Arabidopsis thaliana: one gene and its partner. The protein of the gene in region 2 interacts with the protein of the main gene of each other region in a pairwise test. Each region holds a gene or a part of one and is shown on either strand. Other genes may lie near its edges.

The links.
Region 1: the proteins of SUT4 (region 2) and CB5-E interact in a two-hybrid assay, tested with the Arabidopsis thaliana proteins (one study listed by BioGRID).

What each region holds. Positions count from the first base shown.
Region 1 is NC_003076.8:21,753,433-21,769,048, forward strand, and holds CB5-E (cytochrome B5), read left to right. Parts: upstream 1-5,896; 5' UTR 5,897-6,032; intron 6,033-6,184; 5' UTR 6,185-6,195; coding exon 6,196-6,282; intron 6,283-6,515; coding exon 6,516-6,582; intron 6,583-6,670; coding exon 6,671-6,921; 3' UTR 6,922-7,146; downstream 7,147-15,616. Other genes in the region: YSL3 (YELLOW STRIPE like 3), read left to right, coding at 2,649-3,021, 3,117-3,292, 3,527-3,624, 3,714-3,848, 3,933-4,122, 4,211-4,328, 4,407-5,344; AT5G53570 (Ypt/Rab-GAP domain of gyp1p superfamily protein), read right to left, coding at 7,492-8,665, 8,753-8,806, 8,895-8,944, 9,033-9,165, 9,409-9,656, 9,774-9,848; PLR1 (NAD(P)-linked oxidoreductase superfamily protein), read right to left, coding at 11,783-11,968, 12,046-12,139, 12,224-12,477, 12,567-12,690, 12,783-12,876, 13,058-13,286, 13,371-13,487. UniProt on the Arabidopsis thaliana protein: Membrane bound hemoprotein which function as an electron carrier for several membrane bound oxygenases, including fatty acid desaturases.
Region 2 is NC_003070.9:3,239,705-3,257,619, reverse strand, and holds SUT4 (sucrose transporter 4), read right to left. Parts: upstream 13,635-17,915; 5' UTR 13,363-13,634; coding exon 12,825-13,362; intron 12,462-12,824; coding exon 11,734-12,461; intron 11,598-11,733; coding exon 11,534-11,597; intron 11,406-11,533; coding exon 11,362-11,405; intron 11,061-11,361; coding exon 10,902-11,060; 3' UTR 10,879-10,901; intron 10,793-10,878; 3' UTR 10,404-10,792; downstream 1-10,403. Other genes in the region: AT1G09980 (Putative serine esterase family protein), read left to right, coding at 1-235, 329-534, 635-685, 777-1,079; LRR XI-23 (Leucine-rich receptor-like protein kinase family protein), read right to left, coding at 2,192-2,568, 2,656-5,212; RAS1 (RESPONSE TO ABA AND SALT 1), read left to right, coding at 16,079-16,771. UniProt on the Arabidopsis thaliana protein: Responsible for the transport of sucrose into the cell, with the concomitant uptake of protons (symport system). Can also transport maltose at a lesser rate. May also transport biotin.

The DNA of each region.
Region 1 (15,616 bases), on a different chromosome or scaffold from region 2:
AATTAGTAAATCTTGGTTATAGATAGATAGTCATATGGTTGATCTTGCTTTCTCACACTTAACACCATCAGTTGAATCCAATGTTAAAAATAGGTAATTCTCAGATGCAGTACCTCATAAATGTTGTAAAAAAGTCATAAATAATTATTCAAAGGAATGCATGGAAGAAGTGAATTACATATTTTTAAAAAAAATATAGGAAAAGAAAAGTAAAGTTCGTACAAAAGAGAGTAGTATTATTCTCTTTTTCTTCTCCATAGGGCCTCGTAATATCTACTTAGCATACGAGGACACATTAATATTCGATCATGTATATATATGCCTACGACTACGAGACATTCGAAAGTTATTGTCTAGTGGTTTGTATTCACACAATTTCCGTGTTAACAGTTTTAGTTCCATTTCCTTCATATAGAGATCTAAATGATACTACTACATATCATTTAGTTTAAGGAAGGACGATGTAAGAAAATAAAAATCTAATATACGAGAGAATTGTAACACGTTCACTTCATAACTAGCTAGCTAGTGGTACTTACCAGTTACTACCCCAACTCTAGTCAACACTACATTAAATACTATAATGTGAACAAAATTATTTTGAACCAACGGCTGTTACAGTAGTTTATTCAACTTTATCAACCAATGCATTAAATTGAACATATTTCTGGCCGATTGAAATAGGTTGGGAACGATCTTATAAAATTCAGTCTTAAACAAGTCTTGGTTTTCAAAAATGCAAATTCATTCGTATGTTCTTGGCAAAAAATGGTTTAATTGGTTTGATCTGATCTTATCCTATCACGCAGGATTGGTGTAATATAACGCACCAAATTCGGCCAGGAAACGTCCGAATATAATAGTCCAATTCTACTTATGAATTTGACGTGTTGACGTAAAGAATCAAAAGTCGAACTTATTGAATAATTTATTCGACTTTAATTTTCTTTTGGGGTTTTGGTATGTTTGTGACCACATGGTATGGAGTTGACATTTACCATTTTCTTGATTGACTACCTAAGAAAATTTTAATTATTATTCACATTATGGAGAGTTATGTTTCCATATTTTGGCTTTAATATTAATCATGTGGTCAATAAAATAAAGAGGATAGTTATGGCATAAGATTGTCCATAATGTCATCATCTTGTTTAGTAAAAGACAGTCACATGAACCGGAATCTCGGTTTACCAAACTTTTCACTTTTTCAGTTTCACATGAATGTCACCAGATTCATTGAGTTAAACATGTATTTTAATACTATAAAAGGTTAATTAGTTATGATATCATATTTATGACTTTTAAAAGACTTTTGATATTGTAATCTGTAACTAGTTATAAGTTAACCATCTCTTATAATTAGAACAAAAAAAAACTTAATTATGGATGAACTGATTTTAATGGAAAAAATATTTAGAAATAGAAATACATTCATAATTTATATCTAAGTCTAACCAAAACACAAATCTAAAGTTACGAATAAATCATTTCAAGTGTAATTTTACTAACTATTTGACTCCTAATCTTATTTCATCACCTAAACTCCTAATTGTTATATATTTATGAGAGATAATGACATTTGTTCCTCTACATACTAATCTAATGGTTGAATAGTCATGTGTTTGACAAACTTATAAAGTTTGATTTTTCGTATGTGACATTTAGTTATACATCCATAAATTATATAACTTTCTTAGTGAGATATATGAAGGTTATATATGTGGAGTATATTCTTAATAATTAATTGTTACCCTACTTTTTTTCTTTTCGGTGACGTAACTTTTATAAAGTTTAACCCCTTAATGATTATTGTACTACATAAACCCCAAAACTCTTTTCTCTTTTCTTTTTTCTTTGTGTAGTACTGATATCAAGTCAACGTGCGGTACATAAGAACCCAAGATCCCATAAATAAATTCTTCTTGGTTTTAAGCTTTCTTCTTCATCTCTACTTCTCTATATAACTTTGAGTAGTCTCACCAAAGTCCATTTTTAAAAAATCAACTATACCATTTTTAGCTATTCTTTGGTCTTCGTTTCGTGTAAGCATTCAATGTTTTTTTTCTTTTATCTCTTTGGGAAACGGGAGTGTGGTCTTCGTGTGTGTGTCCCTGTTTCATTAACCAGTTACGTTTCATTCTCTTCTTTTCTTACGTTTACTACAGATTTCAGAAAGAAAAAAAAGTGTTTGAAGCAAAAGAGATTAATGGCAGATTCTTGAGTCATTAACTTTTTTCTAATTCTTTTAATTAGATCTCTGAACATAAGAGATAACTTGCGTCATTATTCTATGGTTATAAAGATTATGCACTTGATTAAAATAATCTCTAGTTTTCCTTTTTCTCATTTGCTAAGCAACTGTTTCTTTTTCTTCTTCTTCTTCTTCTTCAGATAATTATGCTTGGGAGTGGAAAGCAAGAAAAATTCTAAACTTTATATAAAATTCCCAGAATCAATTGATCCAAAAAGAGGTACCATTTTTTTCCTCTCGTCATTTTCCATAAAAGTAAGCTTTTGATTGATATTTAATTATTAAAAGAATCTGTCTTTTGGGTTTTTGTTTTGACAAATTTTTGTTTTTTCAGTATTGTCAAAAAAGATAATCAAGAAGAAGAAACTCTGTTTTTTTGTTCTGTTCTTGGAAAAAAATGAGGAGTATGATGATGGAGAGAGAGGGAAGGAATGAGATAGAAAGAGAAGTAATAGATGACTTGGAAGAGACGCAAAACGAAGGAGATGATTTCAAGTCAATACCTCCATGGAAGGAACAAATCACTTTCAGAGGAATTGTTGCAAGTTTAATCATTGGTATAATCTACAGTGTGATCGTGATGAAACTAAACCTAACAACAGGTTTGGTCCCAAACCTAAATGTCTCTGCAGCACTTTTAGCCTTTGTCTTCCTTAGAAGCTGGACCAAGCTGTTGACCAAAGCCGGGATTGTGACTAAACCGTTCACTAAACAAGAGAACACTGTTGTCCAAACATGTGCTGTTGCTTGTTACAGCATTGCAGTTGGAGGTTCAGTGAATTTTGACCAGTTGTTTTGACTGTTTGATCAGTTTTTGTTTGGGGTTGGATCATTGTTTTGAGCTATGTGTTTGTGTGATTTGCAGGTGGGTTTGGTTCATACCTTCTTGGTTTGAACAGAATTACTTATGAACAGTCAGGAGGAACTCACACTGATGGGAATTATCCGGAAGGCACGAAAGAGCCTGGAATCGGTTGGATGACCGCTTTCTTGTTCTTTACTTGCTTTGTTGGTCTTTTAGCATTGGTTCCTCTAAGAAAGGTAGAGATTATTTAAGATTCTGTCTCATTGAATTTGTAGTTAGAGATGTTGCGGTAGGCCAAAGTTTGCGGGTCAGTCCGGCCCATATAAGTGTGATATGGGCCTGGCCAAACCCGCTATAGCCAACATAGGACGGAGATTAATATTGGCCAAGTTTGGACTATTAATCCCCTGTTGGCTGGTTTGGGTCTACATTGCTAAGTGTTCATTATGCTTCTTTTTTTGGTTAACCAGATCATGATCATAGACTACAAGCTGACATATCCAAGTGGAACAGCTACCGCGGTTTTGATCAACGGTTTCCACACTCCTAAAGGCAATAAAATGGCCAAGTATTAACTCGATTTTTTGGCAGTCTCTTAGCTCTCTTTCACCACTAATTCTAGAGTTTTTGATTTAAATAAAATCTGTTTATATGCAGGAAACAAGTGTTTGGGTTTGTGAAGTACTTCTCATTTAGCTTCATTTGGGCTTTCTTCCAATGGTTCTTCTCTGGTGGTACAGAGTGCGGTTTCATTCAGTTTCCAACTTTCGGGTTAGAAGCTTTGAAGAACACGTGAGTATTATTCTTAGTTCTATTGACTGTTTATATATCAACAGATAGAAACAGAATCTTGATGATCTTGAAAAAACTTGACAGATTCTACTTCGACTTTAGCATGACATACGTTGGAGCAGGAATGATCTGTCCCCATATTGTCAATATATCTTTGCTTTTTGGCGCGGTTCTGTCTTGGGGAATCATGTGGCCACTCATTAAAGGTCTTAAAGGAGATTGGTTCCCATCAACTCTTCCTGAAAACAGCATGAAGAGTCTCAATGGTTACAAGGTTCCATACAAAAAACACTAGTACTCTACAATAAACTCCGCCCTTTCTTTCGCGTACTTTCGTTCTTAATTTGTTCATAACTCTTTAGGTGTTTATATCAATCTCATTGATCCTCGGAGACGGGCTTTACCAATTCATCAAGATACTTTTTAAGACAGGAATAAACATGTACGTCAAGTTAAACAATCGCAACTCTGGGAAATCTAGTAAGTATACACCAAAAAAACTATAGAAAAATCGTCATTTCAATAATGTATTATCTGATGTTCAAACGTAAATCGCAGATTCGGAGAAAGATAAGCAATCTATTGCAGATCTTAAAAGAGATGAGATCTTTGTAAGAGACAGCATTCCATTATGGGTTGCAGCAGTAGGATACGCAGCGTTCTCTGTTGTCTCGATCATCGCGATCCCTATAATGTTCCCCGAGCTGAAATGGTACTTCATAGTCGTAGCTTACATGTTAGCTCCATCGTTAGGTTTCAGTAACGCTTATGGAGCAGGGCTAACAGATATGAACATGGCTTATAACTATGGTAAAGTCGCTCTGTTTATCTTAGCCGCTATGGCAGGGAAACAAAATGGTGTAGTCGCGGGACTTGTCGGATGCGGGTTGATAAAATCGATTGTATCGATTTCTTCTGACCTAATGCACGATTTCAAGACAGGACATTTGACTCTGACTTCACCTAGGTCGATGCTTGTGAGTCAAGCGATCGGTACAGCGATCGGATGCGTTGTGGCGCCTCTAACTTTCTTCTTGTTTTATAAAGCTTTCGATGTCGGGAACCAGGAGGGAGAGTACAAAGCTCCTTACGCTTTGGTATACAGAAACATGGCAATTCTTGGAGTTGAAGGTTTCTCTGCTTTGCCTCAACATTGTTTACAGCTTTGTTACGGGTTTTTCGCATTCGCGGTGGCGGCAAATCTCGTTAGGGATAGGTTACCGGATAAGATAGGGAATTGGGTTCCATTACCGATGGCAATGGCGGTTCCGTTTCTTGTTGGAGGGTACTTTGCTATTGATATGTGTGTGGGAAGTTTGATTGTGTTTGCTTGGAATATGAGAGATCGAGTTAAAGCCGGTTTAATGGTACCGGCGGTTGCTTCCGGTTTGATATGTGGAGATGGTCTATGGATTTTGCCGTCGTCGGTTCTTGCTTTGGCCGGCGTTAGACCTCCTATATGTATGGGCTTCATGCCGAGTAAATATTCGAGTTAAAGATAGCTTTTTACGAGTTTTTACTTTTTTGTGTAGCGACAAAAAAATTAGCTAAAGAATTGTGGAAACAAAAAAAACAGTTTATATAGGAATTGTACTTTGTAAGTTTGTATACACAATAAAGTAATAAACTAGTCTCTCAATTCTATTTAAAAATCCATGTCCCAAGTAACTTCTCCCCAAAAAGAAACTCAATATTTTAGAATAAGGTCAAATGGAATTAAATTCCAGAAGATATTTGCCAAAATAGTGATAAAAATACGGTTAAATTGGTATATGTTTTTACTGACAAAAGGCAAGATTCTTCTATTTTAAGATTTATTTCTTTCTTTGAAATCTGCTAAACGTTGTTAGATCACACTTTATGTGTCTGTTTTTTTTTTTGTCAATTCAGCACACGTCATATTTGTATTTTTCAAAGTACCAAACGTGGACCAAAATAAAATCTCGTCAAAAATGGAAACCAAATTTTAATTTGATTTGCACAAAGCCCAATTTGATTTGTTTAAAGTCAAAGCCCAACTTGACCAAAACTACCCCTGCTCATCCAAACCCTAAGCAAAATATCGAGGGTAGTTTCGTATTTTGTTTATATTGAACACAATTAAGTAGGTGAGGAACCTCTATTTCTTCCGTCTTCTGCTGATTTCTGAGCTTCGGAGCTATCGAAAATTCTGAATCTGAAAGGGTAAAGATCCCATCTTTTTCCAAAAATCGATAAGGGAATTAGTATATTCGTTCATTCATCATCGTTCTGATGATTTCGATTTGAATCTGTATCTAGTACTCTGTATTATCAGAAATTTTGATTAGTAGCTTTGATGTGTTCTTGTTTTGCAGTTTGAGTGAAGATGTCTTCAGATCGGAAGGTTCTAAGTTTTGAAGAAGTTTCAAAGCACAACAAAACTAAGGATTGTTGGCTTATTATTTCCGGCAAGGTTAGATCTTGTCTCTTTGTTTGAGAACATCTCTGTTTTTTGACGAACTTAGTTCTCTTCCGCCATTGATTTGTGTCAAAGCTTCGATTTTAAAGTTGTAGAGTTGGATTGTTACTGTTAGAAGCTTTAATCGAGCCCCTCGTAGATTTAGTTGATTCTATGTTAATTCACACTAGAGAAACAGAGTTTGTGTCTACTACTTGGTTATGATCTGTGATTGTTGCGTTCTTTAGGTGTATGATGTGACTCCATTCATGGATGATCATCCTGGAGGCGATGAAGTCTTGTTGTCCTCAACAGGTATAAAACTTGTGTTTCTCTCTGATTCAAGGCGGATTTGAAGCGGCTCGGTGACTGTTTCTGTTCTGATGTGGTGTTTTGTTTGCAGGGAAAGATGCTACAAATGATTTTGAAGACGTTGGTCACAGCGACACTGCAAGGGACATGATGGACAAATATTTCATTGGTGAGATTGATTCGTCTAGTGTTCCAGCAACTAGGACATACGTTGCACCACAGCAACCAGCCTACAACCAAGACAAGACACCAGAATTCATTATCAAGATTCTTCAGTTCCTTGTTCCGATCTTGATCTTGGGATTGGCTCTTGTCGTCCGTCACTATACCAAGAAAGACTAGAAGAAGCCAAAGGCTTGCTTTGATGCTTGTCATTGAATATCTCTACCGATCTCTGTCTATCTCTCTTGCGAAAAAAAGTACTGTTACTGTTGTTTGGTCTTAGACTGATTCTTGTTGAAATTACGAACCAAAAATCATTGTGTTGCTACTAGTTTTACTGTGTTGAGTTTATGATGACAGTGTTTTCGACTTTGATGATATAATAAAAGACTGCTTGATTTGCCCAAACTTAAGCTGCTTGATAAAGAAGTGAGAAACTGGATTTCTACAATTGAACAAATATGTTTCATACAATTGTGGAAATGACAGTTTCAGACTCATCCGTTACATTTTAACAAGAATATTGCCTTGTCTTTTTCATTAGTACTACAATAAAAGCGATAAGGATAGTAGTATTGTGTTTTCTCTGTGTGATGAGTAAACAAAAAGAAAGAAGAAAGAAAGAGAGGAGTGAAAACGGTAAGAACCAAACCGCAACAAACTTTAAACCTTGAGAAAACGCAGCCAGACGAGTGCAAGGGCTTTTGTGTAGTGGAAACACTTCATTTCTGGCTTTGATCGACTTCTTCATCAAATACTCTGTGATTGAGAAAGAGTTTCAATCTTGTCGTGAAGCGTCACGACAAGATGATGGGCATCATCAAGAAGCTTCCAGACATTAAGCTGACCAGCCATGCTATTACACTCTTCCACAATCTCATCCATACTACTGTATTTCTGTATGATCAGTTTCCTACGTAGTACTAACGCCGCGATTGCATAGAGCAACAAATCATCCGTTGGCGGTGCTTGTTGCCGGATTCTGCTCCATGGCGACTTCCCAACTCCAGCTCTAATGGCAGCTTGATCAGCCCACATCACTTCCCAGAGACACAGCGTCTGTTCAAAACTCAACTCCCTCCTAAACATAACAAGCACCATCCTGTAAACGAAACTACAATCTTCTGCTTGAAGATTCTCCAAGTGTTTATAAAGCTGAGAGTCTTTATTTTTTATGATCTTTGATACAATGCTTAGCTGTCTTTGAATCCCTGCTTCGTCAAGCCTGAAATTGTGCCGAGCTTTCTTCATGAAACCAACAAAGCACCAGAAAGCCTCGTGATCCTCTGAGATCACAGCGAGGATTGGAGATAACAGATCACTCATTCCTTGACAGTAGCCTATCTCAGGATCATACATAGCATAAGCTTCAAGAATTGCAACTAACCGTGCTGCGTGGTATAGCCTGCAGCTTTCTAAGTGATCATAGTCTTTTAACCCGACAGATTCGGCTAACCTGCGAGCTTTGCTTTCTGTGATTGCTGTTGAATATGGAGAATAATTTGCCCATTCAGAATCCGCTCGTAAAGCATCAAGCCGGATGATACGTTGCCACGTAGAGAAATCTTCGTGTACCGCAACTTCTACTTGGACCTCAGAAGCAGCAGCTACAAGAAGAGAACTATTCTCTTCAGAATTGTTATTACTATTATCCTCCTCCGGCTTTTTTTCATCGCTGTGTGCAAAAGATGAGAGTAGTAAAACATCTTCATTATCTTCACAAGAGTCTGTATCAGAAGAATCAGTGTTCAAAGCAGAAACAACATCTTGACTTGTCATTGGTCCTGTAATCTTATAATCATCCACGAACCGAACACATTGACTGTTTGCCTCATCAGATGGAAGCTCCTCAAGATTATCGGTACTTCCATTACCGCACTTGAGAAGCATCTGACATCGTCTCTGTAGTTTCTCATACTCCTTCCTACAATTCAAAGATCCCAACAATGAAATTATCTATCAGCATCTAAATACAAACATTGACTATATATAGATCAAACTAAATACTAACCTTTTTTGAGTTTTCACTGCTTCTCTTTCTTCACTAGTACTATTCAAATCATAACTGCCATAAGAGAAAACAAGTTGAGAATCTCAACAGAGTGAATAAAAATAACCAAGACCATAAAGTCAAAACAAGAACAAACACTCACACTCCGAGTAAGAACAGCCACACTTCTGCACGAATACTTGGATCAACACCCTACAGAACCATAAGAACATAAATCAGAACCAGTAAAGAGACAAGTAAGAAACAAGACATACATATGGTCCTTGTTCAAAAGACTCACTCTGCTTCTAACTTTCTTCAGGAATCCAACTCCACCATCACGGAGTTTTCCCTCCGGTGTAAATAAACTCCTCCATTGATGTGGCGTCAATGCCCATTTTCTTTTCCGGCGAGACCACGGTGATTTCCGCCGGCTATAAACAAGTCAAGAGTCAACATTAGAAGCTTTTACAATATCAAAATCAACAACATTGATTGCCAAAATCAATCTAACAGCAAAACAAATAAACAATCCGAACAAACATAGAAACTTGTTAATCTTTATCATACTTTCCAAGTTGTGAACATTCAATCCGAACTCTATTATTGGATCAAAAAAGAGAATCTTTTAGATGCCATCTAAAATATTCCAAATCTAAAAGCTTTAGGCTACTCACCGATCGGAAGAAGTAACTGAAGACGGAGACGAAAGATTAGCCACAAAGAGAACCGACCGTAGATGGATCCACGACGACGAAGACGAAGAAGAATTAGAATTCGAATAAGAATTAGAATTAGAAGAAGGAGGTGAAGAAGAAGAAGAAGATGGTAACGAAGAAGAAGACGAAGAAGGTAACGAAGACGAAGAAGATGAATTCCCAGAAGACGTTGAAGTATAGCTTCTCCGTAACGCCTTCATCTGATTCTCTAAAAACTTAAACCTAAACCCCAAATCAAAATCAAAATCGAAATCAAAAAGTCTCCTGCTTTCATCAAAGATCTACACTTTTAATAAAACCCATTATCATCGACGGTGAATCACCGCCGGAAATTTCCCGGTGATAAGCAAAAGTAAACCTCTTCCTCCTCCTCCTCCGCCGTAGCAGAAATCAAGCATGAGTTGTTTAAGAAAAGAAAAGGACAGATTTACCCTCAAATCTCTCTCACTGTGATTGATTACTCTATCGTCTTCTTCAGCACGCCGAAACTGAAAAAAAGAAGAGAGACGAAGAAAGAAGACGAAGAAGAAGGAAAAAAAGCAAAAGCATCCAACAACTGAAGCCTCTCTAACCACTTTGCTCTTTCTTTTTCAGCTCTTGTCTTTTTTTTTTTACTTTAAGACATTAAGCGCGTGGACTCGCGCGTTTACTTTAATGCTACACGCGCTTTAACTCTCCACGCGATTTGGTAGGTGAATTTTAATTATGAAACTGCGTCGTTTCGTTTTAGTCTTCGTTGGTGGATTTTTACGCGATATCGGGTATGACCAAAGAGGAAATGACACGTGTTTACTATGGTTAAAAGCTTTAAATGTCAAAAGCTAAAAGATTTTCATTACGTTCCCACTTTACCGCGGCTTTTAAGGAGCATAATCATGATTAGTTTTGTAGATTTTCTAGTAAAATTTTTATGTCTACTAGAGAACAAATCTAATCATAAGAATGTTGACCTAATGGACCTACGTTTACTCAATGGTAAGGTTAAGAATTGGATTAACGATGGTTATTGAATATATATAGGTGTTTCTAAAATACTCTATTTTGGAATAGTTTTTGTTTGGTAGGATAATGATATATATTAAATTTCCATAGCAAATACTAACAATATAGTCAAAGGGTTTATCTTAATTAGGATTGATTTTTATGATTTGATGTTATAGATAACAGAATAACAAAAATTAATTCATTTGACAACTTTTCATCTATATTAATGAGTTTTCAATTCGAAATTATTGATCATATGGAGAAAAGTGGGCAACTAAATAATTCAATATTTATCTAAATAAAAAGTTAAGAGAAATTTATAAGATGGAAACACAAGTTAATATGATTTACATGTAGATGTTTTCAATAAACAAAAAAAAAAGGAAAAGGGTTAGTAAACACATTCAAATGGATCAAGTTAAAACCGATTAGTAATAATAAATGTCTATGAACCGAGTCAAAATTAAACTTTGAACTAAGCCAAACCTAAACTTGTTTATAGCATAATTATAAACAAAGACTGAAAAGGATTTGATTAATATGATGTTTATTGTTTATTTTGTTGTGACTTGTGAGTCTTACTAAAGTGTAACGGAATAAAGAGAAAAAATAACTATACCTTTTTTTTTTTTGACTGACATAAAGCCGAAGATATGCTATTAAATCTAGCCGCGTATGTCATTAACCAAATCTGGAATATAGTTGGTATTAAATTACAAAAGCATATGGAAAAGAATTTATTCTAATAATAAAGCACTACTAGTAGTAGTATTTTATTTATATATTTATGAAAATATACTTGCATGTTCTTGGAACTATAATTGTTTTTAAATAATATTCTGATTAAGAAAGTTAATGAGAGTTTAAATGAGGAAATTAAAGTTCGTTGGATGGAGAAGACATCAAGCAAGACTAGTGGCCAAGTTGTAGGTATAAAATAACATTATTACGTTCTAGGGATAAACATTTGGTTGCTTGAAAGATAAGTTATGTCTATGTAAATGCAGAAATTGCAATGATAAGTTTAGTCACTATGGATAGAGAGAGAGAGCTTTCAAGAGCAGAAAACACGACAATCGATAACTTTGTTTATGTGTCTCTCACAACTAGCAATGTCTACCGGCATGAAATGTGGGTATTATGTCCAAATCTAAGCGTTTAAATGGTTGCACTGGAAGAAGGACTAATTGCTTAGGAATTTGATCACTATATGCATAACAATGGTATAAGAAAACTATCTGTGTTCTTCACAATATGTGCATATATAAAGAAGTAGATTAAAACTTCTACTTATACACATTGTTCTCATTTGTGGTCTAGATGTGTATAAGCATCTTCTCTTATCCTATCATCTTGTCTGAAAAATATTCTGAATCATTGACTTTGGTGATTCTTTAGCTGCATATTCTAACTGAAGCTGTTCATCATTTGTAAGTTTCCATCCCAGAGCACCCAAATTATCTTCAACATGTCTTACCGACTTGATTCCCGGTATCGGTACTGTCCCTTTGCATATGCACCAGTTTATTGCAACCTGTAACAAATGATAACTCGTTCTTACAAGTTTCAACACTTCTTCTTCCCAAGAATCTTATGAAATTGAAATAATACCTGAGGCATAGTCTTTCCTCGTTTCTTTGCAATCTCGCTCAGTGCTAAAAGAAGAGGTTCTAATCCAGGAAGAATTTGTCGGAACAGCAATGATCTGTTAATCAGTGTTCAAGCATAGTTAAGAACAAGAAACAACGGCTAGTTTTGTCGATCTTTGAGCAATCTATTAGTACTTTACCGTGGACCAGTGGGAAGTTTTGAAGAGGAGTATTTCCCAGTTAGCATTCCTAGCCCAAGAGGACTATAAGAGATTAAACGAATCCCGAGCTCGTCGCATATACTCTTGATCTCTAGTTGCTCTTTTCCCATGCTTAGCAATGAGAATTGCACTTGGGCAGAACATAAAGGAACCCCTCGAGTTTTAAGGTAATCATGAATCTTCACAAGCTGTTGAGGTCCATAGTTACTAACTCCAACGGCTCTAACTAAACCCTGAGAAAGAGGAACGCTTATCATCAACTTTCCAAGTGCTTAAATGGTCATTAAAGAGATTTCATATTTTCAGTAGTTTTCTAAGCAACCTTTTCGTACATTTGCACTAGACCATCCCAAAGAACAAGCTCTTGTAGAGGCGCGTAGCTTGCAGTTGACCAGTGAAGCTGTCCAATCCCGAGCTGGTCTATCTGAAGCCGGTCTAAAGAAGCTCTAACACAACAACAGAACATCATCCAATTTATCATCAATCTCCAATAAACCAGAAGTGAAAAAGAGAGACAAAGATCAAAACTTAGAGAGACCTGCAGGCATTCACAAACTGTCCTGAAGTTAACCTCCATGGATAAGCTGCAAACTTTGTAGCTACCACTACTTCATTTTGTTTCCCTTTAAGTCCTGACATTTGCAACCATTAATCACAACACACAAACCCACCACAGTAACTTATCAAGACAGCTCCAGGATAATACTTTAGAACCAACTAAAGGCAATTTTTTCCCCAAATTTCTGAAACTATCTATTGAATCAGAATCTTTAGACCAGTAACAAAATTGGGAAAGGTTAAAGAGAAACACACCTTGAGATTCTTTAATGAATTTCCCCAAAAGTCTCTCACTTTGGCCATTAAGCCTACCAGTGCCATAAGAATCAGCAGTATCAAACAAATTGATTCCATTTTCCAAAGCCAATTCAAAAGCTTGTTGAAGCTGATCATCCATGGAAGTCTGATAACCCCAAAGAAGCTGATTACCCCAAGCCCATGTCCCAAAACCCATAGGAGAAACACTTAAAGGACCCATTTTGACCTAAAACCATCGATTGTTCATTCAATTGCATTAAAAAGGAGAACACTTTGTTACGTTTGCTTTATATGCGTATTGATGTGTTACCTTTTGCCATGGCCAGAAAAGAGGAAGCTTGAGAGGCTTAAAGGTGGTTATGTTGGAAGTATTGTTTGAGCAGTTTATGTTAGTGAAGGTCTTTGTGGTTGACAATGTTAAAGCCATTGAAAATAGTGGAGAAGAAGGCTCTCAAGCCTTTCTTCTGCTGTTTCTCAGTGTGTGGATGTTTTTGAAGATAAAACTGTCAACGCTTTTTCTGGGAAAATTTAATTTAATATTCAATTACTTTATTTCACATAATACACTCTAAAATCAATTTAATGTTAATGAAATAAATTGATTTTAGAGTGTATTATGTGAGATGGGCAAAGAAAACAAAAGTAAGGTTTGCCTCTGTTTATGGGTCCAGTCCAGTCTCATAATAGAATTTTGTGGAAGCCCACCCAAGAAACTACAATTTTTCCCCAAAAATAAAATAAATAGTATTTTTGGAATTTTAATCAATTATAAAAATAAAATGATGTTGATTTCGTTTGTTTTTTTTTCAAATAACATTTTACGGTGTTTTACCACCATGCAAAAAAGTATGGACATTAATAATATTTTAAATCTATTTGTGTTAATTCAAAATTTTCTAATAATATAAAAGTGGTCGACAAAAAAAATATTCCCAAATTTTCTGTTGTTTGATCAAAATATGGGCAAAATTAACATAATTTTTAACAATTTTATCATGGTGTCATTTTGTAAACAAGCTTTTAAAAATGCTATTTATTGGATATGTCGAAAGGAAAATAGAAAGAAAAAACTATGTTCTTCGAAAAGAAAAAAAGATGAATGTCGTCCAAAGGAGGTCTTACAAGAATCTGATTACATAGCAAGTAATAAAACATGCGCAAGATGAAAATCCACTATTATACAATTTTGTTACGGTGTCATTTTTTCAACCAAGTTCTAAAGAGATGCTACATAGTATATTAGATAATATCGTGCACATATATGCGGGGAAAAAAAAGTCGAATAGGAGAAAAGAAGACGAATGTCCAAAGGAGACTTATTACAAGAATCTGATTACATTGCGAGTAAATATATAGAAGTTTGCATGTACGTATGAGACTATGAGTACTATTGAGTTTGTGGGAATTTTATATATGCCCGAAAGAGAATGCAATTACAGAATGAACAAAAAACGAAACAATTTTGGGCCACTAAGACTTATCTCCAGCAATTGGCACAATTCGAATATCCAAATACACACAATATGAATAGATAAAATTAGTATGACATCCAATATGATACTCTATTAAGAACCAAAACGAATACGAATAGATAAATATTTATTTCGACGTGACTACATTTTTGTTTGACATCAATTTCACCGACGACGTGTCATTTGCTTTTACTATATATAGTTTAGTATTTTTCGGCAGACTTTAACGTGTAGTCAAAACGACAAAAACACATTTAGTTTAGAAGTTTTACATGACGAGCTAATGCGTGTCTTGATAAAGTAGCTCTAATCACATCCACGTAAAAAACGACACCTATATTCAATTAAAGTAAGGTTTCATTTTCACTTGATAAAAAGAGAGATTTTAAATTCTTTTGTAGTGACATGTTATCATTGGCGACTCGACGATGATGTAATTAACGAAATAGAAAACGTTTGTTCGTTTTTTCTCGGAGTAGTTAAAATCTGAAAGCCTAGATTGTGTGGGTGGAGAACCTCAATACATATAATAAAATGATTCATTGACATATATAGTTTATTAAGTCAAATAACTTTAAGCAATATATTCAAATGTTTGGTTGAGAGTTTAAGCCACTCGAAACACAAATCTTTTTTTAACATGTGGGATGTGGCCCATAAACACCAAGGATGCTTGGTCATTTTCTACGAATATGATTCGACCTTTTGTATCTTTTCCAATTCATCTAAATTTGTTATGATAACAACAAGCACTAGGGTTCGATATTTGCTTATTACGTTTGGGTTATAAATAGTTTTGATAGAATTAGTACTGAAATTCATCTTGTCTGATTTCATATGGTTTGGTTATTTTGATGTTTCTGGTTAAAATCAAAACAATGTACTAATAAATATAGAAATCCATATCCTCATAATACTAGTAATATTCAAATAAGGATTATAGAAAGAAAAAAATTAGTAGGGAAGCAGATCAATGTTCATCAGGTTAGATTTTACGAATTTTAATTTGATGTAAGTTTCGTTTGTTTCTGTTAGTATTCAAGAACTGTTTGGTTCATAACTTCATATTGAATATCGGATTACG
Region 2 (17,915 bases):
ATCCGGAATCAGTGGCTCCTAATTGATCCAAAGATAGAGTTTCTCATGTCTGAGGCAAATGAGGAGAGAACACATGGCGATTTTAGGGAAATGGGTCAGAGGCTTGCGCAGGAAGTTGTTTCTTTTTTCAAGAGGAAAAAGGATAAACATGCGAGATACGGGCGCTTGAAAAACATCAAGCTGAGTTTTGTTGGACATTCAATTGGTAACGTCATCATCAGAGCTGCAATAGCTGGTATGTTCTTAGAATCTCTCAGACAATGTTTAAAACGGTTCGTAAATCGGTTTTGGTGTTAATCATTATTCCCGACTTATGTATTTGTTGCAGATAGTTTGATGGATCCATACAGGAAGTATTTTCATACATATATATCGCTTTCGGGTCCACACTTGGGTTATCTATACAGTTCAAATTCCTTGTTTAATTCTGGACTTTGGCTCCTGAAGAAGTTAAAGAGTACTCAGGTTATTCATCAGCTTACACTCACAGATGATCCTGATCTCCAGAATACTTTCTTTTACAAGCTCTGCAAGGTAGAGAAAGATGTTAACATTTCATCAAGATCTTGTACCATAGTTACAAACAGACCTTTGTTCTTTGGTTCTGAAATGTTGGTTTTGAAATTATTTTCAGCAAAAGACGTTGTGCAGTTTCAAGAATATAATTCTCCTGTCTTCGCCTCAGGTACATTCCATTACACTTATATGAGAATACAATCCCTAACATTTTTTTATATTGTCTAATTAGAGCCATGTCTTTTTTTTTGCTACTCCAGGATGGGTATGTTCCATATCACTCAGCTAGGATTGAGTCATGCCAACCAGCTTCTTTCGACAACTCAAAAAGAGGTGTTGCTTTCTTGGAGATGCTTAATAACTGTATGGACCAAATACGTGGGCCATCCCCTGAAACTCCGCACCACCAGAGAGTGTTCATGCGCTGTGATGTCAACTTCGACACAACCTTGTATGGTCGTAACCTGAACTCATTCATCGGCCGTGCTGCTCACATCGAGTTTTTGGAGTCTGATGTCTTTGCAAGATTCATAATGTGGTCATTCCAAGATCTATTCCGCTGACAAATCTTGGTTTGTGGAGATATGTTTTGAGATAGATCAGAAAGATACAACCAAAAAAAAAAAAAACTGTTGTATATTAAGTAGGACAATTCTTTGGTTAGTTTTTGTGCACTCGCCAGCGGAAGAAGTTATCAAGTATACGTTACCTCAACTTGTAGGAAGTTATTAGTTTTTTTTACTTTTGAGATTAATTTACTATCTGCTAATGACGTTTGCTCTATCAAATAAAAAAACAAAAATGTAAAATATGTATTCCTATGCTTAGGAAGATATTAAGAATTGCCGACTTCTTTCAGAAAAAAAATACAAGTTTATTGTTCGAACCAATGCAGAGAAGCAGTATTGTCTGCTTGTGAAGAATGAAGAATTATACAATTTTCGCTTAAGCATTATTGTCTTCTTTCTGATAGTATCTTTTTTTTTTTTGGCTAAATCAGTAAATATCAGTAGATGAAAGTTTAAACATAAATGCATTCTCAACAAAGGAAGCTTTGAATCTCTTATTAGTGGAGCCAAAAGGCCATGAGGTGTCTAAATTTCTTCATCTTTCTTTTATTAAGTTGGTCAAAGTGGGCAACTACAAAAGTTTTTGAGCATACGTAGATTTGACTAACTTTTAGAAATCACAGGAGAGGATATCATAATAATAATTGGTCTATGTCATCACACCAAGAATCCAATTTGAATTTGGTTTCGTTTTGAGAATTTTCTGAATCAAATAATATAATAAAATCATCCTCACGCAGAAATAAATATAACTCTGATTAAAAACTGATTGATTGCAAGTTTTATAGACATTGTTTTACCCAGTCGAATATACACTTCTTAGCAAAGTAATAGTATAGGTGCATATAAGGACCATAAATTTCATTTAGTAGTTGACCTTCATGAACATTTGAAAACCTTAAAATTCTACAATTACAAGAAAATAGTTTACAATGAGATCGTTACAACACCTATGATTTCATAACCCGGAGTACTAGTATTACAACACTCTCCATCTAAACTCTTACGTACGTCTTAATAGATTTAGATGATCCACTTTACTCGATCTCCCTAAGTTTCATTGTGAACAAAACAGACCCCAAAAGAGTGACTTGGTCCCTCAATCATCAACTTATTTCTTTGACCTTGACATCACTCTCTTTGCTGATCACAATCCCCATCAATCTGCAAGGTTCCGCGTCCTCGATCATCTGCACCACGCTCCTCATCGTCGGTCTTAGTCCAGGAAGTCTTGCGGTGCAGATGATCGCAATCCTCAGCATCTTGACCGCGTCTTCTCTATACATTTCTCCTATCTTCTTGTCCACAATCTCCATCACACTCTCTTTGCTCTTCAGATTGTTGCTCACCCAATTCACTATGTCTTTGCTCTCTCCAAACTCTGCCTCTATCGGTTTTTTCCCTGTGACTAGCTCCATCAACACGACCCCGAAGCTATATACATCGCATTTCTCAGTCACTTTTGACGCATATCCATACTCTGCAACAATATTTTTTACTGTCAAATTGTAATTTCAAAATGTAAGGCCATAACAAGCTGATGATATAAGAGTTAAGTCTCTTTATATACCTGGAGCTATGTAGCCATAGGTTCCCGCAACGACATGCGTGGACTCTGGACCGCCATTGCTGGCCTGAAGAATCTTGGCAAGACCAAAATCCGCAATTCTAGGTTTCAAGAACTCATCTAGCAATATGTTACTGGACTTAACATCACGGTGAATCACCGGTCTCTCATACCCATGATGCAAGTACTCAAGCCCTTTTGCTGCACCAAGAGCTATATCATACCGTGTTTCCCAACCAAGATTCGACTTCTTGCAAGAGTGAAGCATGTCCCATAAGCTTCCATTAGGCAAGTACTCGTACACCAGCAAGCTCGAGTCATCGCTCGTGATGCTACAATAGAGTTTCACCACGTTTAAGTGTCGTATCGAACTAAGCGTTTGCACCTCTGTTTCAAACTCTTTCGATCTTCCCTCCCGTTCAGTGAGAATCGGCATTGCACTGCTGAAGTTTTTCTGAGTACTACTACACCGGATGTGTTTGACCGCAACTTCTTTACCATCACCAAGTACTACTCTGTACACATCCCCACAACCTCCTCTACCAATCAAATTCTCTTCTTTGATTGAATCAATGATATCATCTTCAGTGAAACTCATCTTTCGGAATGACTTTATACTCCAAGATTCGTGTTTAAGCGAACGTCCCTCCTTCTTCTCTGTTTTCTTCAGGTACAAGAAAAACACAAGAGACGCTAGCAAGATCAGTAACCCGAAAACTATACACAACACGAACACGCGAGTGTCTCCATGCGATCTCGAAGGATTTATGCACCGGTTAAACGATTTGATCGTCGTGCTACAGAGGCCAGGATTGCCATTGAAGCTACCATTATATGATGACAAACTCAGAGGGATACGACCTGATAATCTGTTGTTAGACAGATCAAGAAGGCTAAGCCTTAAAGACGACAAACTCTCTGGGATTCTCCCAGACAACTTATTGTCCGAAAGATTCAAAGCGTTGAGCGTCGGGAGTGATCCAAGCGTGTGGGGGATTTCTCCGGATATCGAGTTTTGAGCCATGTTGACATCGCTGAGCATCGAGCACGAACCAATCGAGTCAGGTATCTCACCGGAGAAGCCATTGCTCTGCATCTTTAGACTGCTAAGTCCTTTGAGTTTCCCAATGGAGCTAGGAATCTTCCCGGTAAACCGGTTATTGTTAAGCTCAACCTTAGTCAAAGATTCAGTGTCACCTATCTCTTCAGGCAGCTCATCAGACAACTTGTTGAACCCTAGATACAACGCTCCGAGCATTTTACCGTTCTTTATATCCGCGGTGATTGGACCTTCGAAGTTATTCATCTCTATATCGATGATCTCGAGCTTCGGTAATCCCCAAAGTCCCGCGGGAACAGTTCCGTTGAGGTTGTTCTCGCTAACTCTGAACCGTTGCAGAGTCAAACAGTTAGCGTAGGACTCAGGGATAGAGCCAGTGAGGTTGTTTTGCAGGAGAAGCAGAGCTTTCATCTTCCCGTTCTTGCACATATCTGGAGGGATCGGTCCGGTTAAGAGATTCTCTGATGCGTCGATGAAATCAAAATCAGCAAGTGAACCGAGTCCTTGAGGCAGAGAACCGGTTAACTTGTTTGTATACAGAGAGAGATTCACGAGATCCTTGAATTCACCAAACTCCAGCGGAATCTCACCGGAGAATTCGTTTTCGAACATTTGTAGTGAAACGAGATTAGTCAGAGACCTAAGCTCCGATAAATCGCCTTGTAGAAGATTTGTTGAAGCGTCCAAGTAAGTCAGATTCTTCAAGTTTCCGAATCCGGTAGGAAGTTTTCCGGTCAAGGAGTTGTTGTAAAGCTCTAACTGCCAGAGATTAGTAAGTTTCGAAATCTCCGACGGAATCTCTCCGGTTAATCCGCTATCGGAAATCTCCAAATTCCGAAGCTCCGTCAAATCTCCAATCGCCGGTGGAATTTTTCCGGCGATACTGCAATTCGACAAGTAAAGCCACGAGAGTTTCTTCAGAGAAACAACCTCCACCGGGAAATCAGCCGTCGCATCAAACGGATTATCGCCTAGGCTCAAAACGACGAGACTCGTTGCGTTTCGGAGCGATTTCCACGGAAAGACGCCGGAAAAAGCGCTGTTGTTGAGATACAGAAACTGTAACTGATTTAAAGATGAGAACTCAGGGAAAGCACCGGAGAATAAATTGTTGCCGAGATCCAAATACTTCAAACTCGTGCAGTTTTTCAAATCGCTGGGGATTATTCCAGATAGTGAATTGAATCCGAGAGAGAGTTTCTCGAGACTCTGAATCTCACAAACCGAATCGAATGGAAAATTCCCAGATAAACCTCGACGAGAGAGATCAATCTCTGTAACGTTGCCTCTAGAATTACAGGTTACTCCGATGAAGCTACAAGGACCGATACCGGAGTTCAGTTTCCAGGAATCGAACACGGCGAGATTGGAATCGGCGAATGATGATTTGAGCTTGAGTAAGACTTGGAGATCGTCGGAAGAAACGACGGAGAATAGAGAGAAGACGAGGAAGGTGGAGAAGCGGTGAAAGAAGTTGAAATTCCTTAACGACGGAGCCATGTCGGAGAGAAGAAGTGGTGACGGTGGTTTGAGTTGATCGGAAACTTGTTTTTTCACATCGGGAAATTTGGTTAGAGGAGAAGAGAGAGAGAGAGAGAGAGAGAGAGAGAGAGAGAGAGAGAGAGAGGCGGGCGCGAGAAAAAAGCTTAAGCTTTGCCGCTTTGAAGCAAAGTTCTTCTTATCTGGTGGTATCCATTAAATATTCAAATTTTGGCTTACCTTTGTAATCACTATCACTCACTCTTTTTGTTTTCTCTCGTTTTATATTTCTTTATTTATCACATAAACAAAATAATAATTTGCGTCATTGTTTTTTTATATGGTGCTTACGAAAATTAAATTATCTCCAAATAAATAAAGTATATCTTAGTTGAATAATATTGGTTTTATTAAGAGGGACCCTTGATAACTATACTATTTAGTTTTCTGATTATACAGTAAATGTATGTGGAATATTATATGAGCGTTTTGATATATTACTTTATAATTATTATTATTATGGCTTTTTTGGTTTTCATTGACTATCCTCAGAAATTTTTTATTGAAATTGAATAGAATTTTTCAAAAATTTAAAAAAAAATCCACATACAAAACTGAAACGATATCCTACTATTGAGTAGAGTATTGACTAATTAAGTACATTCTTTTGTTAATAGATTATTTTAGACTAGACGTAACGCCGAAATTGTACCTTTGTCATTGAGGAAACTTAAACAAAACTTAACTAAAATCATTATACCCCCAAGAAAAAAAAACTTAACCAAAAACAAAGAAACCAATCCAAAAAAAATATTAAACTACATTATTAATTTATAGTTGTCTTATATGCAACTACACTACATGGTAGGCTTAGGTAGATGTGGTTTTTATATGCAGCGCTATTTTTGGGGCTATATAATATTTTGTACACGTCCGTCGTAAGTATTAATATACATTTTAATCTGCAGTATACCGCAGGACAATTTATTTTTTTAAGTTAATATATATAAAAATTTATATATTATATCTATCTATAAAATATTTTTATTTTATAGTTTACAATTGTTATTAAGTAACGTCCTGCCAAACTCGTCCCGCAAAAAAAAAAACCATTTATTTTGTTAATGTTGATCTTATTTATGATATGTTTATGAATCATTCTCTAAATATTTTAGTCAAAATGGGACGTTGAACTCACATATTTTTCGCCAATTGGTTAATATATGTTCATTTTTTAAATTTTGAATCACAAAATATGACGGAAAAAAATTTGAGATTTTTAAAAACTCTATATATTATATAATGATGTTAAGATTTTTTGATATATTAAACTTTTTATAAGTTTAAATATTAGTAATGTTAAAAAAATTTAAAATATAAATAATAATATTTAAAAAACTAATAGTTTTTGCCTTTTAGGTAATGACATAATAAATCTAAAAGCAAGGATTTAGAAGATTTAAATCTTTAATTAAATATTTTCATTCCTAAATAATTAATGCCAGTAGCATGAAATTGTAAATAAGTTCAAATACAGGATTTATTTATTTAAACAAAAAACGTTTAGTAAGAATAATATTTATTTAAACAAAAACTTTGTTTTAAATATTGTTAACAAATACGTTTATGCTAATTTTAAAGGATTGATGGGAAGTTTGTTTGGATTAAATTTGATTGATAATGTGATTGACAATTTAAATTAAGAATTTAAAGTAAAATGAATTATTTTGGAAAAAAGATTTAATGCTAATGACATTGAGTTGTAAATAAGTTCAACTCTACGATTTATTTGCTAAAATGTCTGCAAAAATATGTAGATGATTGTGTATTATACTTACGTTTCAATTTAATTGAGCTGTTGATGAGGCATCACTATAAACATGTGTTGAACACTTGCTTTTTATGGCACAAGAGTTGCAACTTGCGACAATATACTTTTTTCCAAAGTTAATTAGGAAGTAGTTATATGTCTTAGCTCTTATCTTAAAACAAAACAAATGGCTATTTTTTTAAAAGGAAATTTTCATTCTAAATCTTTAGTTTGATTACCAAATTAACCAACCTTATATTGTGTGTGTACACATTAGGTAATGCAATAATATATCGACTATAGGACTAATAATTAAATTCTGCCGCTCCATAATTGCCATGTTCAAATTTGTTTGAGGGCTCTTTTTCTCGGTGGACTCTTCTTTTTCCGACATAAAACAATAAAAAAAAAGAATTATCATTAGAGCGTTATTTTTATGTTTATGTTGCGAGTATTCATTTGTCATATTCTGATTAGGTGGAGACATAAATAATTGATTCCACGCCAGAAGACACTAGTGAGTCCAAACAAACACATGTGTTTCAAACCTTTGAAAATCAGTAAGAAAAAACTTTCTTTGCTACTGTGTTTCCCTAGCTTGCTGTTGTAGAGTCTTTTATGATTAGGTGACGTAACTAGAAATAATATATATAGATGGTCTAATTAAGCGTAAAACTAGAATTACTATAATAGATTACTCTTAGGCTATATACTAAAAAGAAAGATCCACAACCATGATAACAATTCGGACAGATATGAAAAAATTTCAATGAATTACACAACCAAAACCTAGTTCAGTGATTTTAAAGAAAAAAATTAAGCCAGAGCAGTTTTCTCATTTGGCTCTAATCATCTTGGTTTATATTATCCTGAAAATCTTAGGGCTTAAAACAAAAATCAAATAAAACGTATATATTTACCGACGATAAGGCGCGATAAAAAATTATCTATATTAATAAATAAAAAAGATTATGACATTTTTTTTTTGGGACAAATTTTAACGTACGCATGGATCATTTAATATATGAAAAAAAAATTTAGACTGTACAAATAAGTAACCACAGCTTCTTCTTTTTTTTTCTCTCTCACGAGTCCACGGTGAAAGAAAATTTGATTGCATGATGTGAAACTATATATTAAGAGATTGATCTTTATTGATAATTTTAACCATACCGTAACTATCAATCGACGAATCTTTGTTTGGTCAATGAATTATTTCGAATATGGAGTCTTCACATTTTACTAGTCAACAAAGCGTTCGAAGCTTCATGGAAAAAGAGGGCAATACTAGAGAACAGACAAGAAAAGAAAAGAAAAAGTTTTTGATGAAATAAGTTATCCAATAATTGAAGCCTAAGAAAAGACAAATCATTCTTTTACTTTTATTTTTATTTTATTTTTGTTATATGATAGTGCAAGTGCATGGACGTGACGATAAAATGTACTTGTCAAAAAATACAGGGTGGACTTCACTTAGCTTTTCTTGTGATATGAAAATCTTGAAAGGTAAAAGCTAATTGCTTTGTTGCATACAAAAAGGCAATTACTTTATTTTCTTTCAGCTAAAGCTAAAAAGGTTAATTAAAGAAGAAGAAAAAACTCTCCACTTATGTAAATCCGAAGGCGACAAGGGATGAATCAAATGGCCTACAGTGAATGCTTTCAACAACCCAATTCTTCATAAAAAGAACACAATCTAAATATAACATAAGGTAGAGAATGGGGATTCATCTTTCTTTCTTCGTCAGAAGGATTTGATCACATTTTACAATAACAAAATATACCAAAATAACCACTTTTCTACACATATTAAAATGATCATATTTTAAATTAAGAAGGGGATTATCTACACATCCAAAATGTACTGCGGGGTTAAAAATCAAGGATCTCATCATATTTTCACTTGCATTCTAACAATCTTAACATCTTGCAATACTAATTACGTACGTTTATGCAATTAATTAACCACGTGAGAATCTCATGCTTCTTTTTTGGTTGTTGTTGAGAATCTCATGTATTTGTTCTTGAAGGTGAAGAGTACTAACCTCAACATCTTCTCTTGAACCATGATCAGTAGTACTCATCATAAAAAAAGAAATTCTTGATAGATACACATCATAAAACTTTAATCTTGAATTTCTTGATCTGTGTTGACCCCCAAAATAAGAAGAAAATACAGTATTACTCTTTCAGAATTTTCTATTTCAACTACTGGTATTAAACTTTAATACCATCTTAATTTATTTATTTCTTAATCTCAAAAGTGTCAACTGTTATACACAAATGAGTGATACTTAAATCAGTATGTTGAGATTTTAGATACACTTTTAAAAAAGGTTATGTGTAGTTGAGAACGTATTAGATTATATCGTAGAGAAGGATAAAAAGCATGCTTAGTAGTAAGTTAGTATAAAAAAAGACTTCAAATTTAATTATACTAGAAAACGAGATTTAAGAATTTTGAAATCGTAGTGCATGCAGCTAGAGACTCTAACCTCGAATTTGTTAATAGAAAAAAGATGATAAGATTTGCCATTCGTCTAGAAGCAGGGAGGTGTGAAAGCCGCCCTAGTTGACTTTGAATATAGAGAGAGTCGGTGACAGACAGAGAGTAAACCACGTTTTTGTCCTTTGTTATATATCACTTCTTAGATATTAGCCAGGGCCTCTCCAAATCCCAACAGACTTTTTAGGTCCCTTGTGCTCCTCCTCCACACGTGTATTCCTTTTTCTAAATTCTTTAGGCATATTACTACTCCACAGCTTATTTTCTTTTTTTCTATTTTCAGTTTAAACCAATTATGATATCTGTTATACATACTCTCACACAATCTCTATTGGACGGTCAAAGTACTTAACTCTGGAATCATTCACAATTTTACAAGGATAAGTATTGCTCAAGCTGTATTAGCATCTACTTATTTCTCTCAATTATTGATACGCTGCCTACAGAATCTCAATAGCATTACAGTAATTTCAATCTCAAACATCTCACTCAAGAAGAAAACTGGGATTTGCTACTATTCCTTCCTACTAGGCTTAGAGCACTTCCAATGGTTTATCTTAGGTGTATCTTAGAATAATATTTTAGAATTAAACTTTGAAAATTAAATCAAAATAAATTAAAAACTAAGATTTGCTTCTTAGCTAAGAAGTTTTCATGAGTGAAAAAAACAGTTACATGTCATGTTTCAAAATTTTAGTATAAATAATTGTTAAGATGTTTGGTTAAGAACCAATTACTTCTTAACCATTGGAGATGGTCTTAATATTCCCAAGAGTCATCCTAATCTATTGCTGACTATTGGTGGTTACTGCTACTATAGAGACTACTAGTACTCGTAATGGTTCCTTTCTACTTTTGCTACACAGATCATGTAAATTTTTTGGATCTCAGGTTTTCTTTATCAAACTAATTCTAAAGAAAATGAACTTTATAAACAGTTACAGAACTCAGGGGCCCTTACAAACACTCTGTTGTACACAGGTTTTTACATTAATTTACAACAACAACAAAAAAAACAGAGAAGATCCCGAACTGGAACTTCCAATAAAGGAGAGATGCATATACCTCACAAACTGAATGATGTATTATTTTCATTGGTTCTATGGTGCCTCGTGTATACAAGGATCATAGTCCCCAAAGTAGAGGGGATTAAGTCCTAGTAGCTGCAAATAAGTTAGTCACACGAGAAGCCATTGCACGAATTTTCGACAAGGATCACATTAAGTGTTCCATCTCCTTGCCATTTCCAAGCACTCCCCTTATGCGTTCCTCGCTTGACACTCATCTATTTCGCATTAGCCGCTTTTAATAATCAGTGACAACTTAAGTGCTTACTATGTACTTTTTGTGAAAGAATTGTGACATTATTACCTTATATAACAAAAGAGAGAATCTCATGGGAGAGGGATGGGCTTCTGAATCCTTGTCCGTGGAAGAGCCAAGATAGCTACAATTCCGCCAATGAAGCCTGTAGCTGCTCCTACTGCAAGTGCCGGTGAATTCCCACCTCCAAACAGTTGATCCCATGGGCCACTGCCAACAGACACAATTACCTGCAAACACATAAATGATTGAACAACAGAATTTGAGTTTGATGCCAAAAACCATAACCAACATAGGGAAGAAATTCATCAATCAACTAATATAGAGAAATAAAAAGTGTACTTTCATCACTGGCCAATGACCATAACTAAAAAAACGAATCGTTTATTAATGACAATTGACAAATAATGCAGTAACTCTGCTGCATGTTATGCTTATAGACTTCCTTTTACAGGCAGAAACATTCAAAGAAGAATATGATTTTGAGTTGCGGCAAATATAATGCTAAAAGGATGGTTGAAAGAAGTGTACCTGTGGGATGACTATCGCCAAATTTAGCACACCCAAAGATAAGCCTGCCACAACAGAACTTTTATAAGAAACAACACTCATATGTAGAGTAAAATCATTGAGCAGAACTTTTCTAAGAAACAACACAACAGAACTTTTATAAGAAACAACACCCAAAGATAAGCCTGCACACCTTGACCTAAGCCCAGGGATTCAATACGTATGGAAATCAACGCATATGGGACGCTGTAAGTTATCTGCAGAAGAGTAGCAATAGCATTAGTTACAGCGAAAGCGTAAATAAATTTCATCATGTTGTTACAGATGAGCAGGCAAAATATCATAAGTAATAGTGTAAGTAACATGACAGCAGAATTACAGGAGTAAACTTACCGCCAATGGAATGCCCAGAATTGTAAAGATTAACACAGCAGCAAACACGATGCTGGCAGGAGGTTGTTCATGGCCAATGTAGCCAAGGTGAGACGCAACAAATGAGGTGATTATCATTCCAAGAAAGCAAATAGCCATTAAGATATTTGATATTCCCCAAACAAAACCAGCCCCCCACTTTCTGCAAAGTTTCTCCATGAGCACAGAAGTGATTCCAAGAAAAACAGAATTCAACATCAAACCAAGTGCACCCATACTGACCCCAGCACTATATGAAGTCCCTATGTTCGGTTCACCGCCATAGATCTCTCGACCCATCCAATCAGTATCAAACAGAATAAATGGAAACCAACCAATCCATGTCAATGCTGTAACAAGCAAGATTATCCAAACATTTCCTGGAAAATATCTGAAAGTTCCAAATATCTCAGAAAGAAAAGCTTCGTCTGTTCCACTGGTTTGCCCATGTGCTTCAGAAGCCAATGAAGCAAGTGGCACCTCATGAGCCGCTGAGACGCTTAGGATCGTAGTTATTGCAATAAAGACAACATCTATGTAGAAGGCAGACTTGAGATTGGCACATTCCACATTACATGCAACTGTCTTCGTAAAAGTGAAGATCTTGTACCAACCATTGTATGATCCAGTAGCATAGCCAAGAACATTGCCAACAGCCATAAAGAGAGAGAAGTAGCCATTTGCAACTCGGGTTCTGCGATTATCATTCTCTGAAAATAAAGCAATAGGACAAGAATTAAAACACAACATATCTTTGTTTTCACTCCATGAGGTTATCACACAATCGTAGGCTACGATTAACTTCACCAAAATCCACAATTTGATTCAAGGGAAAGAGAAAAAACAAAGTCTCTGTGACTCAACGATAAGCCACCGACCAGAAACAAAGAAGGGACCTTTTGATTGTTAGGAACCAATTAGGTAATTATATAACCCCAAATTGTATCCAAAATCACAAATTTATGCATTTTCATGTTTTGCATGTGAGTGTATAATCACGAGAATCCCAAATTTACTACATTTGAATGATTTCAAATTGAAGACCCAATCAACACTAAAGTCAGGAACTTTACCAGTAAGATCAGCAAGGAGAGCTCTACAAGGACCTTGAGTCATATTATTAGCAACATCAAGAATCCAAAACCCTAAAACAAAAGCAACAATCGCCCTCGGCTTAATCTTCCCTTCTCTATCCCCAAATGCCCATCCAATATCCGCCGCATGACCAATAACCATAACAGAGATAGAAATCGCCACAGCTCCGGCGACAATAAACGGTCTCCGACGACCGTACTTACTAGTACACCTATCGCTACTATGCCCAACGAGCGGTTGCACGAACAAACCAGAGAGAGGACCGCAAAGCCAAATCACACTAGCCCAAGCGTGTGGGATCCCCAGCTCTTGAACGTAAGGTGTGAGGAGAGAAAGCTGAAGAGCCCATCCGAATTGAATCCCGCATGCGACGGAAGCTACACGGAGAAGCACACGCTTCGAAACTTTTGATCTAGGAGGAGATACAACGGGACGAGATGAAGAAGTAGAGGGTCGAGCTATTGGTGGACGGTTGCGAGTGACTCTGTGACGGCGATCTTGATCGGAAGTAGCCATTTCTCGCTTCACAGTCGTCGTGGCGTAGAGAGAGTGAAAAAGCTTAAAGTGGAGAGAAAAAGGTGGCGAAGAAGAAGATGTTGTAAGAATTCCATTGGACTAAAGGAATCTACTTTAGGAAAGTTGAGTGCTTTTTGTAAATTGTTTTAAATTTGTTGGGGAAATTGTGTAAATAATGAAAAGTGGGCACGTTAAAAGAGGGTATATAGTGTAAGGTTTGTTGTTTCTCTATGGATAAAATACATATTTTTGTTGAAACGAAATGATTTTGAGGGAGCATTCGTCATTTTCTGTTGGATCACGGGGCAAAAAGTAAGTTCCACTTACGTAAGCTGGAAGAAGAGACGTTGAGTATTCAATAACACTATCAATATGCAGTTTTGTGTTTGGAACAGAAAAAAATGTCATCTTTATTCAAAGAAAGAAGAGGGGGAAAAAAAAAAAAAAAAAAGAGAGAGAGAAAGAGTGTGCTTACGCAATTTTCAAATACATGTTCATCTACATAGACAATTTTCAAATATTCTCTTAATATGTAATTTGGTTGAGTCCGTTGTTTTAACTAATAAATTACTTAATATGGAAATTAGGTCGAAAGGATTGAGCGATCAAAATTGTTGAAATACGAAAATGACGTTATTGTTTGTTAATCAAGCTTGGGCCAATGTGAGCCGTACACGTGCTGCATGATTCAGGTTATACGGTTTAAACGTATAACACGATGGCGCCAATTTACCAAAACGTACTCTAAAATGGCATCTTTTTTATCTTTACTTATAGTCTTTTAGGCCTAATCATGTTTTAATTAGGGTAGGTGAACTGATTTTTATCTTTGTTTTTGCTCAATAGTTTAGTATGCACTTGATTGGGTTGGAATTCAGTTTTGTACCAACATTTCGTTCCCCTTTTTATGTAGTTGCTCACTCGAATCATGTTTAGGTTTATTATGGCGATATGAAATTGTAAGGTTTTGAATAATTGGACTATTTTTTGCGTTCAATTACTCACCGGGTCAAAATAAAGAAAAACGGATGATTCCACCATCATCTAAGGCAAAATGATTTTATTGCAAAAATAAGAAATTGAGAAATTCTCATTGCAAAAATGGCTTATAGAGAAACAAGAAAGGATGATGGCATGCAACTGAAGGCCCTATCCATTGAAGGAAACTCTTGTGGGCTGAACCAATAAGCTAAATAACCCAAATGAGGAAGAACAAAAACCTAAACATGAAGGCCCGTTTCTCCTTTTAATGATTTTATTCGTATAACCGCCTTAAAAAAAAGATTCAAATGAAAACAAAAATGTTTGATTAAAACTTAAAAGGCCGCAAAAGAAACACGGTTTGTGACGAAAACGTGGCCGCGTAAGCAACGAGTTGAAAAGTATCCGCGTCCGTGCGTTGCATAGCCAACTAATGCCCACCAGCTCCAAACATTTTCCAACTCTCTCTTTTTTTTTTTTTTTTTAGTTTTGCAAAACGTGTTTTCTCAGTTATTTGTCGTCACTTCTTTTCATCTAATTTTTTTGTCAAAAAAATTTGTTGCCTCTTTTATCTTTAAAGCTTGTATTGTTTTTTAATACGTACTTTATTTCTCATACGGTAGTTCTGAGAAAATGGTAAAACTGCCAAGCATTTGCAATTTTTGACGAGGAGGAATTTTAAGTAATAGAGAGAAAAATTCTATTCGTTAAATTCTTACAAGAAAAAAAAATCTTATAAGAAATTATATAATTATCTCATCAGGTTTTTAAATGAATTTGAACTCTCAATAAGGTTTACTCTAACGACTGATTTAAATGAACTTATAGTATCAACGTGCATATTCCAATTTTTTTTTTTTTGACATCTTTTCTTTTTTTGTCCGTTATTAGAGTGATGAAAGAATCTGTTGATTGAAATATGGTTGCTCGATCCCCAAGGTTGAAGTTAGAGAAAGATCTTTTCGAAGGAAGTATGAGACAACTACATGGAAAAGAAAAATCTTAAAATAATGTAGAAATTTTCTTAGTAAAGAAGAAAAGATGGCTCGCGGCATAACTGGAGCATTTATGAACTGTTGGTTTATTTGGTTTCTATTTTGTAAGGACATGTTCCTTTCCTGACATATGTCATCTTCTTTACATGACGTGTGCCTTCTTATTTTACCAACATGTGTCGGTTTCCTCTTCAGATGTTATTTTAGGTCATTCCATAATATCGAGATGCGACCCTGACAGATATATAATTCCAACTGGAACTAGTAGTGATAGATACAATTTCAGATATAAACATTTTAATTATAAAACAGACTAAATATTTTAAAGATTTTTAATGAACACTTGTTTTAAAAAAAAAAAAAAATTCTCTAGGTTATAGTCTTTCTTTTTGTCGATTCTATAGGTTATAATCAATAATTACCAAGGATAATTTATATTTTATTTTCATCCATATTAAAATTTTATACTATTGTTTAACCCAACTTGATTCTAAAACCAGAGTTGAATAACAACAGCAAATGATGATAAGACGCTGCTCTGATTACACTTCACTCCGACAAGACAAAAGTCACAAAAATCCATTTCGCCCGCCGACACATCGTCGATAGACCGACATATCGTAAATTAATTCCTAAAAGATTTTTCTTGGTCAAGCCCAATGTAGTAGTATATAAACATTCTTGCACAACGTACACTCACAGTCCATACTTACTTAGTGAGTACTCCAAACATAAGAAACATGCCAAACACTAGCAGCTCTCAAAGCTTCACTATCTTCGTTGATGGTTGGTTAATCCGTCACAGGTATTTCGTTGAACAGCTTATGTGTGCTTCTTCCTTGGATGAAACTAATCGTATCTCTCTCGAAGAACAACAATCTCTCGTGGCCCAGTTTCTATCTCACTGTCTTCAATACTACCAAGAGAAATTCGCCTCCGTTTCCCTCGCCGGGGACAACGTTTTCACTTTCTTCTGCCCACCGTGGTTTAACTCCTACGCTAAACTTATTTTATGGGTCGGCGATTTCAAGCCTTCTCTTGTGTTTAAACTCACCGAGGTCTCCGTGGCCGACCTCACGCGCCACCAGAAAGACCGGATCTCGAGTCTTAAGTCGGAGACTAGGAGGAAAGAGAGAGAAGTTATGCGAGATTTCGCCCTCGTGCAACAAAGCGTGGCGGATCCGCCGGTGATGCTCGCGGCGAGGCGCGTGGGAGCGGTGGGAATGGTGGACGGAGAAGAAACGGATTTGGAGGAGGCGATGGAGGTGCTTAAAGCTGGGATGGCGGCAGCGATGAACAACGCTGATCAGCTACGGTGTTCGACGGTGGGGAAAGTGGTGGAGATTCTTACTCCGCCGCAAGCGATTAAAGTGTTGAGGACAATCGGACAGCTTCACCTCCGTCTGAGAGACAGAGACCAAGAAAGAGCTTAAAAAAAAAGATACTTAATTTGCTTTGCTCTGCTTCTTCAACAACGATGGAGTCATCACTAATTTTTGTTTTTCGGGCTCAACCACTTGATCCTGAGATTTAGATTTCCTTTTGGTGATTTATGATTTTTAAAAGATTTGAGAATTGGGCTTTTTTGTTTGTAGTGATATGATGTCATGTTTTTTATTTTTGGCTTCTCGTTTCTTCCTTAAATCAGTTCTTACTAAATCTCATCAGTTACTTTTACAATCAGACCAAAAAATGTCAAAAGTACACAGTACTTGCTTTCAAAATCCTACGTAGCTTATGATGTGGTCGCCATGTCATTTATAGTACTTTACTAACTTGCTGACATGTAATTGTTGAAAAAATATTACTTTTATTCCATTTATCAACACAAAACTGGGCTTAAAGCATTGGGCCAACAACAGTGAACAACGGGATACAAAAAGAGTTCGTAGTTCTGCAAATCGAATACAGGAGGTCCAATATTTCAAAAGATGCATATTTTTCTTGGCTAAATTGGTCAATGTTATTGTTAGGCATGGCGTTGACTTTAGAGGCTTCCTAGAGATTGCCAGATGAGGGAGTAAAAGTCAGCTTTGATGGGCTTTTTCATACGTGATAAGCCTAAGAATATAAACAAACAATGCTCTAACTGAAGAATGGATTGAACTATTTTTAATCCAAGTCTAGTTTACATACACAAAGGTATTGTATGTTGACATGTTGTAATAGATTCGAATTTTCCACAAGTCTATCTACATTGTGGTTTGAGTCATTATTCATTTATTCCTTCCAATTTAGTGAAACTTAAATGATTATCTGAAAACAATAAATGATTATATATACTAAAAAAAAAAAACATATCGCTGCTACTAATTTTAAACAATTACAGAAAGAAGGAAGAAAAAGAACAATTATGCAAACAAATGTCAACTGGTTATATCATGTCGTTGTTTAAATATTATAACTATATTATTCTCAAACCAAGGTATTGAACAAACGTTATGTCAATGCAATCAAATTACTCAAACGTTAAGCATAATAAACAAAACTTGTTTTTTCTTTTCTTTTCTTTTCTTCTTCTTCACGTCATGAATTGTGTCCTAAATAGAAGTTAAGCCTCTCAGATTTTTTTCCCGG